Arabidopsis thaliana: one gene and its partners. The protein of the gene in region 1 interacts with the protein of each later gene in a pairwise test. Each region holds a gene or a part of one and is shown on either strand. Other genes may lie near its edges.

What was found.
Region 2: the proteins of AT3G26110 (region 1) and AGP27 interact in a protein complementation assay, tested with the Arabidopsis thaliana proteins (one large-scale study listed by BioGRID).
Region 3: the proteins of AT3G26110 (region 1) and AT3G12180 interact in a protein complementation assay, tested with the Arabidopsis thaliana proteins (one large-scale study listed by BioGRID).
Region 4: the proteins of AT3G26110 (region 1) and YLMG2 interact in a protein complementation assay, tested with the Arabidopsis thaliana proteins (one large-scale study listed by BioGRID).

Annotation. Positions count from the first base shown.
Region 1 is NC_003074.8:9,539,536-9,542,697, reverse strand, and holds AT3G26110 (Anther-specific protein agp1-like protein), read right to left. Parts: upstream 1,216-3,162; 5' UTR 1,126-1,215; coding exon 739-1,125; 3' UTR 534-738; downstream 1-533. Other genes in the region: AT3G26115 (Pyridoxal-5'-phosphate-dependent enzyme family protein), read right to left, coding at 1-173, 323-397; AT3G26100 (Regulator of chromosome condensation (RCC1) family protein), read right to left, coding at 2,549-2,791, 2,889-3,162.
Region 2 is NC_003074.8:1,927,143-1,930,279, reverse strand, and holds AGP27 (arabinogalactan protein 27), read right to left. Parts: upstream 1,413-3,137; 5' UTR 1,305-1,412; coding exon 927-1,304; 3' UTR 596-926; downstream 1-595. Other genes in the region: MEE32 (dehydroquinate dehydratase, putative / shikimate dehydrogenase), read left to right, coding at 2,579-2,800, 3,057-3,137. UniProt on the Arabidopsis thaliana protein: Proteoglycan that seems to be implicated in diverse developmental roles such as differentiation, cell-cell recognition, embryogenesis and programmed cell death.
Region 3 is NC_003074.8:3,881,722-3,885,459, reverse strand, and holds AT3G12180 (Cornichon family protein), read right to left. Parts: upstream 2,131-3,738; 5' UTR 1,997-2,130; coding exon 1,922-1,996; intron 1,441-1,921; coding exon 1,259-1,440; intron 1,174-1,258; coding exon 1,051-1,173; intron 951-1,050; coding exon 890-950; 3' UTR 596-889; downstream 1-595. Other genes in the region: AT3G12170 (Chaperone DnaJ-domain superfamily protein), read right to left, coding at 2,805-3,009, 3,102-3,192, 3,284-3,366, 3,453-3,559, 3,645-3,704.
Region 4 is NC_003076.8:7,240,617-7,244,397, forward strand, and holds YLMG2 (YGGT family protein), read right to left. Parts: upstream 2,265-3,781; 5' UTR 2,150-2,264; coding exon 1,844-2,149; intron 1,467-1,843; coding exon 1,264-1,466; coding exon of another isoform or gene 1,260-1,263; intron 1,225-1,259; exon of another isoform or gene 981-1,224; coding exon 734-980; 3' UTR 585-733; downstream 1-584. Other genes in the region: AT5G21910 (uncharacterized protein), read left to right, coding at 173-511; PAA2 (uncharacterized protein), read left to right, coding at 2,513-3,134, 3,233-3,310, 3,683-3,780. UniProt on the Arabidopsis thaliana protein: Not required for the biogenesis and accumulation of native cytochrome b6 in the thylakoid membrane. Not functionally involved in the pathway for covalent binding of the c-type heme to cytochrome b6.

The DNA of each region.
Region 1 (3,162 bases):
TCATCTCCGAGATGTGGACGAGTGTTGTTCAAGAAGGAGAATTTATCGATTCCTTTGACAGAAGAAACACTAATCTGCTGAATTGGAGATGCAGGACACTGTAATCCCCATTTTCTATCGAGTAATTTAGACACAAACTCTCGTGAATCGATCTCGGAAGTAATGGGAATTCTCTGAAATTGATTAAGACATTATCCCCAAAACGCAATGAAATCAGAAAAAGTTCAGATTTTTTTCTGCAATTGCAAATGGGTATTCTTAGAAGTGACAAAAGGAACGATTTTTAATTGATTTAGATGACGCAGAGAAGAGAAAAGAGAACCTGAGAAGACGAGTGAAAGTGATGAAGATTTGATTTTCCGGTCACCGCCAAAAAAGTTGACCGTTGGACCTTCATTGACGCTTCTCTCTGCAAAATTTCTTCTATTCCGGAGCTAGCGGAGAAGATATGGAGGTTTTTAGACGTGAAAAACACGCGCTTACTCACACGTTGATGGGCTAGGCCCTGTGAGAAAATACGGCCCATATATTGTGGGCTATTTTTGTAAATTTATGAGATGCAGAAATATATTAACCCCACAAATAAAAAACTTTCTTTATATTAGTATATTAAATATGTATCATCCCAATATAATCAATGTTACATCGAAGAAGGGATCGTCAAAATACATCTAAAACAAGAAAATATTACAAACATTTTTATTACAATAGTAATAAGTTCGCGCGCCGATCACAACTCTAGAAAAAGAAGAGCGATCCAGCAACTGCACCAACAACAGAGACAAAGCCAAAAGCTACGGTGGCATCGCTTCCGGAAGCTTCTTTTTGTGGTGGAGGATAGTTAGCGTACGAAGCATCGCTTCCAATAGGTCCGGCGACTGCCACTTCATCATCTCCATTGGCATCATCGGGAGTAACAGCTGCATCGTCGTTGTCAGTTGTTCCAATAGCATTGTCATCAGCTGGACCCTCTGCTATATCACCTCCAATGCCATCGGTTGGAGTTGTAGCGGTGGGAGCTGAGGCGGTGGTGGTTGACGGTGGTTTTTCGTTCTCAGCAGCTGATACGATCACGGCGGAGATAGCGACGAAGAGGAGGAGGAGAGCTAGGTGAAGACGCGCCATTATTTTTTAATTTAGTTATTTAGTAATCCCCAAAAAACTTTTTTTTTTTGAAAAATGTTTTATGGGTATTTTGTTTTATTTATTTATCTTGAATTGTGTAATGAGGGTCTTTGCTTATATAGTTGTTTGATCAAAGTGCTAAGATGACTCAACGCAATTTGAGGTTTTGCCAAAAATATTAAAGGTTGAGGAAAAAATTGCAAATTACATATTATCTTCTACTCCTAATTAAGCTTTTTCTAAATTCTAATCTTATCAAATATAGCAAAAACAATTTGAGAAATAGGATTTTAGATTTTTCTTCGATAGAATATTAGTACTCTAACTAGATTTTGACCCGCGGTATACCGCGGGGCTAGGTTTTTAATAAAATTTGTTATATAAAATGTATATGTAGATATTTGTTTTATTAATATTGTTTGCTTTATTTAGTGTTTAAGATAATATATATATAGATTTTAATTGTCATATCTAGGATTTCATCCGTAGTATATCGTTTCGTATTATTATCGATCAAAACCCGTCATACCATCTAATCATGCACAATGAAATTAAACATATCTAATGGATTTCACTTGTGGTATACCGTCTCGTAATACTATCGACCAAACCCGTCCTACCACTAACCCTGTTCAGTAAAATTAGACATTATTTTGTTATTTTTGTTTTAATAATACTTTAATTTAAAAAATATTTAATTCAAATCAATTTAGAAGTTTTCTTTCAAATATTTATTTAATTGTTATAAAGTTTATATATTATAATATTATAAACATGTCATACCATCTAGTCCTACTATCTAATCATGTTCGGTGAAATTATTTTATTTTATTTTTTTATTAATATTTTTATTAAAAGATTTATAATTTAAATCAATTTAAAGTTTTCTTTCAAATAATTATTTAATTTTTAAATATTTTAACCATTTTGGCAAAAATAACTAGGCCATGGAATAAGAGCATATTCTTTTGAATAAGATTTGCTTTTATTTGATAGTTAATTTTCGCATTGAATAAGCCAGTGGTAACCATTGTAAATAAGTTCCAACTCCATGATTTATTGATGTATATATAAATGTAAATCACAAAATGGCTGCAAAAATGTATATATAGATGTAAACCCAACAAATATGAAAACAGAAAATAAAATAAAAATTTGGTAGAAATTGAATCTGACAATAATTTGATTTAATGAAATTATTTGATAATTATTAACAACATAACCTAAAACTTAACCAATGAACAATTAGAATAATCTAAAAACCCTATACAATGAAATGTTAAAGACAAGTTTATGTTATTCCCCTTTTTGTACAAGCTTCCAAGTCTTATGAACATAAAAAGCAAACGCAAATTTTCTTGCGTTTTTGTTTCCTTGATGTCAAACGTAGTTTCTTACCAACCAAACCACATAAGTCAGCTAGCTAGCTGAGATCGATATCCACTTTTTCCGGTACACACCTTTCTTTTTGGTTCTTACCAAGCTCTGTTCCAAGCTGACCCTGATCGCCTGCACCAAACGCGAATAGCTTCCCCGATTCCGTGAGCGCAAATGTATGAGCGTTCCAGTATATGGAGTTCGTTAGACTTATCTGGACCATCCGCTCGTTCACTTGTTTTAGCGATGTTACTACCGTTGGACTTAGCACGTTTGCATGTCGATTACCCTGCAACAAAAAATCAAACCAGACATACGACTAAACATAAGTTTAGAACATATAATGTAAGCAAAAGAAACAATGGAGGCCATGGCCAATCACTAACCTGTTCATCAAAGGATGGATGGTGACCGAGACTAGCGGATTCGCCGCAGCCAAACGAGTAAACATCACCATCGTCTGAGACCACAAAAGTAGTGTAGTCTCCTGTTGCGACATGAACTGCTTTGACATGGCTTAGACCTTCAACAACCTTAGGGACTGATTCACACTCCTCGTTACCGTGACCTAAACATCCATATCTTCCCCAACCCCAAGTGCACACTCTTCCATCCTGACCTACCACCGCGGCATGCCAAGCACCCGCTGCAACTACCCTA
Region 2 (3,137 bases), 7.6 Mb from region 1:
CAATCAACCTTATAGTAACATATACAATCTTTCACGCATAAAACCCTATAATGTGAAAACAAGAAACGTCCTTTACATATTTCTTCTCACCTAGATATTATTAATTTTAATATTGAGACTTTGAAACCCCAGAAATAAGATAAAGTGTGGGACAAGAAAAGAAGGCACCTTTTTTTGTTGTTGCTTTTAGCCGTGAGGCCAGCATATGCAGTAACTCACATGCATGCGCCTCTAACCTTGTGGCATTTTAGGAATTATGCAATAATGCACTATACTTAAATACGTTAATTCACAAAGTAATACATTCATTCAGTTCATAAACACGTCTCAAGATTAAGACAAAAATAATCATAAAAAACTGGTGTTTTACATAAACTTATGTCGAAATTAATTAGTAGTCTACATATAATTACTCAAGTGTTATTTGCATGTAAACAGTACAAATTTTTGGAACGTTTGATTTTGATACTACTATAAACTGCAGTATACTGTAAAGCATGCATATGACGTCACTTTAATTTGAAACGTAATTTCAACTTTTTCAAAAGGTTCTTTAGCTTAGCGATAAAAAAAAAAAAAAAAGTTAGTGTATAGTAAACGAACAAATGAAATGAAAAGAAGAGAAAAGTATAAGTCCTCAAAGTGTATTGAATCACTTAACGGTAAATTAGTTTTTATTTTTATTTTTATCCAGAGTTCTTAAGTTAATTATGCATCAATTATGTGGTTCTGACGTAATATATTACTTGCGTTTTTCATCTAAACCAATCTAAAACTGTAACAAAATGTTAAGTGGAGAACAATAAAAAATACAAATAGTAAAAAAAAATTGAAAATCAAACTAAATCTAATTTTATTCGTTATTTTTAGGGGACAAATAAACTCATGAAAATAATGACGTACGTGGTCTAAAATATATGAATGACCTATATAGCTGAAACGGCAAGAAGCCGGAGCGAGAAACAATAGACGGCGGCGAAGACAAAGTAGATGAAAACTCCGGGAGCTTGAGAAGACAGAGAAGCAAGAGATGAAGCCGGAGGAGAAGCCGATGGAGCGAAGGCGGGATCAGGATCTGCGGAAACGTCGTCGTTTTCTGGTTCAGGAAGTGTTGAAGAAGAAGGGATGGTTTGAGTGGAGGAGACGGCGGGTGAAGGGAGGAGAGGAGCGATCTCCGGTGAGATCTTTTCTTCAGAGGGAGAGATTGTTTGCGAAGATGGGATTGTATTTGTCGTCGGCGAAGAGAGAGAAAGTGAGGAGAGAAAGATGAAGGTGATGAGTGTTAGCAATATAGATGAAGCCATCTTTTTTGGTTACTGTAATGATGAACAAATCAAAGCTGAGTTGTTTTTTTCCTTAACTGATGAGAGCGCATTTTGTGTTGTAATAATGATACTGTCTCTATAAAAGAAAACTTTTAGCTCTAATAGTAAAATATTATAAATTGATTTTAAATGGAATTTGTCTCACCTTTTTCCAAAAAGATTATTATTTATCAATTTAAAGGATGTGTTCGGTGGAAAAGAAAATATATTTGCTGAATTCTTGAAGATGGGCGTAGATCGAGTTTTCACTTTTTAGTAGAAGCTCTTATATATTGCACATATTTTCGAATAAACATGTGCTTTACTTTTTGCTGAAAAATATTATGTTAATGCAAATTATACATATTGCTAAGTACGAGTAAAGGCATCTCCATCCATGAGAAACCTACAAAGTTTCTAAAACAAAAAAAATATTAATATTATATTATAATTTAATTATTTGATTAAAAAAGTAATTTTGTTAAAAAATTGAATCAATAGTGAGATGAGAATTGTCATGATGGGTTGTAGAGAATATCTCAAAATTTTTCAAGTGAGAAACTTTCTACATTTTCTCTCCTTCATTTTCATTATTTTTATTTTTTTAATTGTGAAAAACTCTTATGAAATACCTTCAATGGAGATGGTCTAATTACGTTTGTTGTTGCCTCGTTGGATGTTCAAATAAAAAGCACATTTTATATTGGGTTGTTCCTAAACAAATATTTTGTTGTCTTTTGTACTAAAGTTTATTGGCGAGTTAAGAAAAGCTTTGTGGTGTGTGGGAATTATTATTATTATTTATTATTTATTGTTCTTTAGTTTGCTATGCAATTCGAGCCCACTAAAGAGGCTTCCTATGGGCCCAAAAAACGCAGCCCACTATTGTAGTGCAAAACGTGCTGAGTTTTCTACATTGCATGCCCAACAATGGCCACCAGTGTAGTTAAAGACTCAAGAACTTGCTGACCTCTATTTGTTTGACTTTCTTTTTTGTGTGAACAAAATCACATATTGTTGATGTCATTTGTTCTGCTATAATTCTTAACTTCAGATTACAGATAACGAATTTTCTCTTGATGATTTAAACAAACATATATAATTGTCAATATCAGAAAATGAAAAGGAGATATAAATAATTTTTTTTTGCGCCTAATCGAAACTTCACCTACCATTTTTTAGCGTATAAAAACGTTAAAAATACCAAAATTTAGAAATCCAATAAAAGTTGTGAAAAAAAGCCGCAAAGGGTCGTTGTTGTTTGTCGCCTCTCAATGGCAGCTTCTTCAACTAATGCTCGTCTCACCAACCCTCCTCGTCTACTCTCCAAACCCCGACTTTCACCTACCTCCGTCGCCAATCTCCGTTTTCCAGCCGCCGATTTCTCCACTCGCTTCTTTGCCGATTCTTCGTCCCCGCGGCTAAGGAGTGTACCGTTTCCGGTGGTATTTTCCGATCAAAGGCGCCGGCGAAGCATGGAACCTAGCAATGTCTATGTTAGTGATTCTTCCTTTAGTTCAGTTTTCTTTTGTTGTTTTCTGTTCCGTTTTTATTGGAGAAGGATAGGTAATGATGAATTTGCAGATTTATCGCTTCAAATAAATTTGGTATTAGTTTTGGATGAAGACTTTGATGTTTCGTGTACAACATTGGTTTAGCTATTTAGAATCGATCTTCAGAATTTTTGTTTAGTTCTGAGAAGTAGTTGGATTTTTAATTGATTGTGGAATTTATCCTGTTTTGTGATCTCAGGTGGCTTCAAATTCCACGGAAATGGAGATCGGAAGTCATGATATCGTGAAGAATCCGAGCTTGATCTGTGCTCCAGTGATG
Region 3 (3,738 bases), 5.7 Mb from region 1:
GAAATTTTTGTTTTAAGAACTCATAAGTGAGGCATCAAGAGGAAAAAAGAAATGAAGTCATAGGATGGATTATGGTTTTGATAAGGTAAGTGAATAAGCGCCTATTTGCTGGATTAAGTGGCATAGTCGTTGGGAGTTAATTAAGGACACCCACGGGCCACGGCCAAGTATGAAAATTGTAGTCTATCTATCTTGAATGATCTTTTCGCTTGGATTGACTAGAGTCTCTCGTGGTCCCAGACTCTTGCCCTAAAAAATCTAAATAAGGAAAGTTCCTTATTTAACCGGTTTAATGCCCGTAGTAAATATTATCGGTTTGTGAGATGGTCTGAGCCGGTCCGGATCGGGTCATAGGGGGTCTGGGACGTAATCAAGCTGGATAACTCTCTTGGGTTGGGCCGTAATCCTTCTTGGGTCGCTATTTGGTCACTATCGCAAAAATTGGCTCATATAAAAAGGTTTGTTGAAACATGCCTTGGTTTTTGTTCTTGCAGAGTTTCTGTTTGGGTCACCTTCTCCTCCTCCTCTTGGATGGACATGGATTTAAGGTCCACAGCGGGTTCAATTGCATCTCCGATAAACTAGATATCGGTGCGTTTTTCCACAGCCAGTCTATGTAATACAATGTAGCTTCATTCTTGATACATGATTTTTATGACTTCAATGATGAGACTGAACATTATATTGCGCAAAACAAAACTGATGAAACCCTCCATGTCAAACGATTTGTGATGAGTTTTCGGTAATCATACGTTATATAAAGCTACATGATGAATCCCTGAATGGCTAATTCTAAGCAGGGACGTAATAAAAACCTGTCACAATTTTCTAAAACACACTCAGAAAATAAAGAGAGAGTGGTTGATAACGCAGAGCGCAAGCGCATAAATCAAAACAAATGAAGTAGATCATCATCTTCCGTGAAGCTATAGACCGCAGAGAGAGTGAGCCTGCAAAAATGTTTTATGGACTCGGTAAGTAACTTCATAGTAGAAGAACCAAAGTAAGTGAAGATGTTAATAGGAAAGCTAAAGCTGTAGTTTTTTTTACCTAAAGACAACCATGATGAAGAGAAAGACGTAGAACCCGAGCTTGGTATACCGGAGCTTCTTTTCAAAGCTGATACCACGGAACACTTCAGTGACATCGATGAGATAACGTCGCTCTTTGTATCTGAAGAACAATGGGAGGCGCGTATTTAGTTTCCACGCATGTCAATCAAGAATCATAAGCAATATGGATGGATATAGATACTTACAACATTGCGTGATAGACTGTTACAGGGACGGCGACCAGAAAGAAGACCCAATGCCATGTGAGGAGGAAGAGAAGGCAGAGTGACCCTTGGAGGATAAACTCAGGTATTACTAATCGGTTGATACGGGTACTTGTTTCAAAAGGGTTCAAGTAATCAGCTTCTAAATCCGTTAAGCAGATAACCTACAAAATCACACACGATATCAATAGACTAAAAAGGAATCTCAATGCTTCAATCATTAGCAGAGGCAGTTAGTATGAGAGTAAACACTATTGGTAGTAGTATCTAACTTCATTCATTCACAGTATATAACTCGCAATTAATCAACTATATGTCTCAATTGACCAAGTATCATATACAAGCCTTGCAGACAATCCAAATCAGAACTAAGAACAACTTTGAGTTAGAAGCATAAGATTAAGGATAAACAATGAAACCTCTCTGGACCCAAAAAATTGTCAATTGTATTTAGTACAAAACCGACGAACACAAAGGAAAATTGTTCCATTCCTAATTTTTTAGCTAATTCGAACAAAAAGCTAAGTTGCTCGGTGTTTTTTCACAAGTACAATTCCGACAATCAGGATTTGAACAGTAAGGACAGATCTCGATTTAAGAATCTTAATGGAAAGTAAAAGGGGACAAACAAAGTAGATAGATTACCTGGTAGAAGACGGAAGCGACGAGAGCCAAGCTAACGAAGAAGGAGACTATCCATAAAAACAAATCCCAAGCCATATTTGCTCTCTTCAACAATTACGATTCGTCTTTTTGCGACTGCGACTCTTCTCCTTAAATACCTTTGAAAAAAAAAGAACTCTTCTTCTCTCAACAATTGGTGTACTTTACTTTGGGGTTCTATTGGACATTAGATTCTTCTTTCCTTTTTATTATTACTTCTCTAGTTTCTTTTTGTGAATATCCTTTTTGTTAAATTCCTTTTTCTTTTTCAACAAAAAAAAAAGATGCTTGGTGTTAATTAATAAAGAACTAACAAAATTTATTAACTGTATGCCATTTAGGCCTATACAAGCCATATAAGTAAATAATTTCATTTTTTTCTTCTCTTTTAGAATAATTATTTGGTTCTTTTAAATAAGTTCACTTGAAATTTGTTAGTTCTTTATTTAGGCCTATACAAGCCAAAGGATCCGTCCACTCTCCTCTTCCCGAGAAACTTGGTTGATACCGTACGTTTATATGTTACATTGTAACAAAGGCTTGTTTAGTTATCAACTGATTATGATGCATTACTCGACCTGATTGTTTTTGCAGGTGGAGAAGTCCTAGGACCCGGTGATAGAATTTCTCTTCTTCTGAAGATCCAGACGACATACACGTGGGACCCTGAGCTTTTGAACTGGTAAACTCACTGCTTTTTTTGTTGTTGGAAAAAAGACAAAAAGTAAAAATACACATTGTTTCCTAGCAAATACACATTAGTCTTCAACTTCTAAGAAGCAACAAATGTGATCTAATTTACGCTAAAAACATTGGTCTCCATTACAAACACGAAACCTAAATTTCACAAACTACTACATAATCTTTATTTTTTTCTAGACTTCTTCGATGATCTCCGGCTTTCAACTTTTCTCTGAGCAGCTTCGAACTCTTCTTCGTTTGGCTCAGAGTCAGCATTGCTACCATACCTAGAGACAAGTGAAGAGAACATTGAATCGAACTTCTCTTTCCTCTCATCTCCCCGCTGGGACATTACAGCGTATAAATCTTTATCTGCAGCCTTTGCTGCTCTGAAAGTATAGAAATTTTGAAACAGGTCACAACAAAGATAACTTCAGAGGGCATTTATTGGGGTGGAAAAGGTAGACAAATAGAAGCTTACTTCCGTCTCATCTTCTGGGGATTCGTGGGAGGTTCCATTTCTGCAATCTCCTTTGCCCATTTCTTGTAAGCTTTTGTTGATTTCACTTCTCCTGCAGATGTTAAACAATGGTATGCACAAACAAATCAGAACCTGGATAGGTTTTATAGACAAAAGAATTATTGCAAGAAAGAGAAGCCTACCCGCTGCAATGGCCTCATCGATAATATCTTTGAAACGGTGCGAATCAAGCTTGGGGTTCGAGCAAAGCATTGAGCAGAAAAGCCTGAAAGAGATATAGTACCAATAATGTTTATACAAACTTCAACTCACAAACTTGACAATAATGAAAACAAGGGGATGATTAATTACCTGCTCATTTTACCCTTAAACTTGTTATATAGCTCAATCAAATCATTCTTCTCGGATTCAGAACCCCTATAGTTGGCCTCAAACTCTTCAATATCTTCCTCGGTGACCTATAGCACAAATGATCAGTATACAGAACGAAACAGTTGTGTTGCAAAGTCCAAAAAGAAATCAATTGTGAATCATGATTCTTACCTTCTTGTACATTGCCTTGAAGAAGTCCCTCAAGTTGTCAACCACATCTCCCGAAAGATCCTAATGAGATAGGGAAATAACCAGTTTGTAAGAA
Region 4 (3,781 bases), on another chromosome or scaffold:
TTTTGAGTAAATAGCTAAACCATACCATCTAAACGGCTTTTTGAAACAATCCTGCAACTTGTGTTCAGATTCTTACCAAGAAACAAGCCATTTTAGTTCAGATGAACACCAACCGGGGATTGTAAAGAAAGTTACCAGTTGTTTTTATATATTTTGTACTGGCATTTTTCTGATGGAAACGGGATCATCCAGCCCGATGATGGGGAGGTTTACTACTTCCAGGAAGCTTTTGGCCATAAGCTTGTCGGTACTAGCCGTGCTCTCACCACTCTACATCGACAGATTATCAGAGGAAGATCTAGAAGAGGAAGAAGAACTCTTCAGCTTTATGTTTTCCTTCTCTCTGCTTCTCCTCTTGTTGATTTTAGCCATAGCCTTGTCCTTGTACAGTGACCCGAGCTTGACCAGGTTTGATCCTTACTGGATTCACAGGCTATGTGGTTCGTTTGGTGGATTGCTTGTCATCCTCATCCTTCTTGTTTTCGTCTTGATATGCAAAGCCTCTGGTTAGAATCTGAGCGAAAGTTGTTTTGATGCCACAAATGAAGAAGAAAAGCTCATCTCTTGCAAAATTTTTACAATATTTCTGTATGTCAGGAACACAACTCTTTTATTCATTTTCTAAAGAAAATTTATACAAAACTCAGAAATCCAAAGATACAGAGTAATAAAATTACTCGAAAGGTAGATTTTACATTTGAAGCGCAGAAAAGAGTAGATATTTTAGACAGGTTCAGGTCATAGAAGCTGAGCTCGGTCTGTGGTCTTTGTGGCTGCTCAACCTTCTCCTTCTCACCCACTTTGTCTCACTAGAAGCTGGAGAAACGGCTCCATCAGCTGACGGGAGTTCGCAAGGAAGTGCCATAGCCGAGCTGGTGAAGGCGTTGAGAACAAGGAACGCCAAAATGGGAGACAAATCTAATCCTCCAAGAGGCGGTATGAATCCCCGGAAAATGTTCAAGTATGGATCACATAAAGTGCTGAAACAATGGTAACGCATATACACATAAATAGGAATCAACTAGGGTTCCTGGGCAGATCAATCAGGGTTTAACCAATCTTTAATCCATTTAAGAGTTGGACAAAAAAGTAGTAGACAGAGTTTATCCAAAATAAATTTCCTCTAAATCAAGTAAAAAGACTACCTTCAACAATCACGAATAGGACTTCTATGATCTAGATTTTGTTTTCATGGATTGATCGAAAACTTTTAAACCTGGATAAGATATAAAATCATTGTGGCATTTGAAGGCAACGTTTTACCTGAGGGGGTTAACAATGGCAGGAGGAGCACTCGGGAACCAGGTGAGTACTAGACGGACGACAAGGATGGTGTTATATATGTTGAGGAAATTGATCAAACCATTAGCAACCACCAATCCTGCAACTGAATCTCCAGGCAGAACCGCTGCAAATCCGTGATTAGACATCGCAAACCTCACCCTTGTAGTGTTTCTCAAACGAATCTGCAATGCAACAAAATGATCTTCATCTTTAAGACATAAAGAACCCAAAACCAGAAGCAAAGGCACACAAAATCATAACCGGACTTATCCAGAAGCCAAGTTTCATCTTTACAAGAAAAGAACCAAAAAAGATCCCAACTTGAGGACATATATAACTCAGGGTTATCAATGTGAGAAGGTTTTCCAATAAATGCTAAATGATCTAGACAACAATCTACTGGCTGTTAAAGAATGACCCATTTTGTATAAATAGAAACCACAAAGATTCACCCATTACAGTAACAATCAGAGCCAAGGCAAGTTCATGAGAAACACACAATCATCTTCTTAACTTAATCCATAACATTCTTTAGCATAAGCAGGCTAAGAGAAGTTACCTCGTCGCACAAAATGTGAAATTCGGAAGATAGGCGAACCGCTTCCTGAAAGAGAGGGTTCTTAGAGGCGAGCGAATGGAGGAATCCTTTAAATTTCTCAGTAGCAGAAATCAGAGACTGATGAAAGTCTTGAATCAATTTGACGGAGTCTGCAACTGGTGGTAGAAGAAGCAAATTGGGTTTGTTCGAACGCACAAGAGGTGTTTGCGTAAATGCCGAAGAGAGCGATACGAAAAAGTTCGGTATCGGTCCTGAAGGATTGGATTTCAAGCTTTTCATAGCTGGTTCATTCGCACTCGCCTCCATTGTTGCAAAGCTCTAGATGTGTTGTAGAAGAAGAAAGCTTGAGAAGATAAAGTTACCTCCAAACAAAAAACAATATTTCAGGAAGATGACACGTGGCATCGCTGTGTCCCGGGGGCTGTAATCCTCTAGCTGAGTTAGAAGGTCTTACCTATTAAAACTTTGCGTTTTATGTCTCTCTCTGATTTTTCTGGTGACAGCCTGGCTTTTTAAAAATTCCACAAAAATGGCTAATGTTCGGATATATTCCAAATCCGACGTGTCAACGTTTAGCGATACTCTTTTTAACGAACCATACACCAGTCCACCACTAGTTTCTTACTTGTATACATCGCGTGACTATCGTCGTCTGTCTCGCCGGAGAAAATGGCGAGCAATCTTCTCCGATTTCCTCTTCCTCCGCCATCGAGTCTTCATATTCGTCCAAGTAAGTTCCTCGTGAACCGATGCTTTCCAAGACTGCGCCGTTCTCGTATCCGGCGGCACTGTTCGCGACCTTTTTTTTTAGTATCAAACTCGGTCGAGATAAGTACTCAATCATTTGAATCTACTGAATCTTCAATCGAATCTGTGAAATCCATTACGAGCGACACGCCTATTCTCCTCGATGTGAGTGGGATGATGTGTGGTGGCTGCGTCGCCCGAGTTAAATCGGTTTTGATGTCTGATGATCGAGTCGCGTCTGCTGTGGTTAACATGCTGACTGAAACCGCGGCTGTGAAGTTTAAACCGGAGGTTGAGGTGACGGCGGATACGGCAGAGAGTTTAGCTAAGAGATTGACAGAGAGTGGTTTTGAGGCTAAGAGGAGAGTCTCGGGTATGGGAGTGGCGGAGAATGTGAAGAAGTGGAAGGAGATGGTAAGTAAGAAAGAGGACTTGCTTGTTAAGAGCAGGAACCGTGTGGCGTTTGCGTGGACATTGGTGGCTCTGTGTTGCGGGTCTCACACTTCGCATATTCTTCATTCCTTGGGAATTCACATTGCTCATGGTACATTGATTATAATGCAAAAAAAATTGTGATGCTAGATGTCATTTGTTGGATAAGAGATGTAGTTTATGACTTTCTCTTGCACCTGATGTTACTAGGAGGGATTTGGGATTTGCTACACAACTCTTACGTGAAAGGTGGTTTGGCCGTTGGAGCTTTGTTGGGACCAGGAAGAGGTTTGCTTTTGTTTAAACTTTTAGTTCGAATCTATGATTCTTACCAGCTAATGCATAATAAGTTTAGTAATTAGTATCATAAGAGAGAGATGACAAAGTAGTCGTTCTTAGGCTATTGTTTAGACTTAGATAAGTGCTAGTGTTCTACTCTGATTATATAGGTGAGCTTTGTTGAATCAGTTCTTCTTATGGATAATGGTTAGCTTAATTGAGTCGTCGTTGTCATAAGAGAGAAACTCTGAATTTTCAAACTTCTTAAGTGATAGTGATGGTTCCTACTATTCTTTGCGACTTTCATAACAAAGTGGTGGTAGTGATATTTGAGGCTGTTCGGAAACACAAATGACTGAAACAGATAGATGTATATTGTAGAATTGCTGTTTGATGGCATAAAAGCTTTCGGGAAAAGATCACCTAATATGAACTCGTTAGTTGGATTGGGATCCATGGCTGCATTTTCCATCAGTTTGG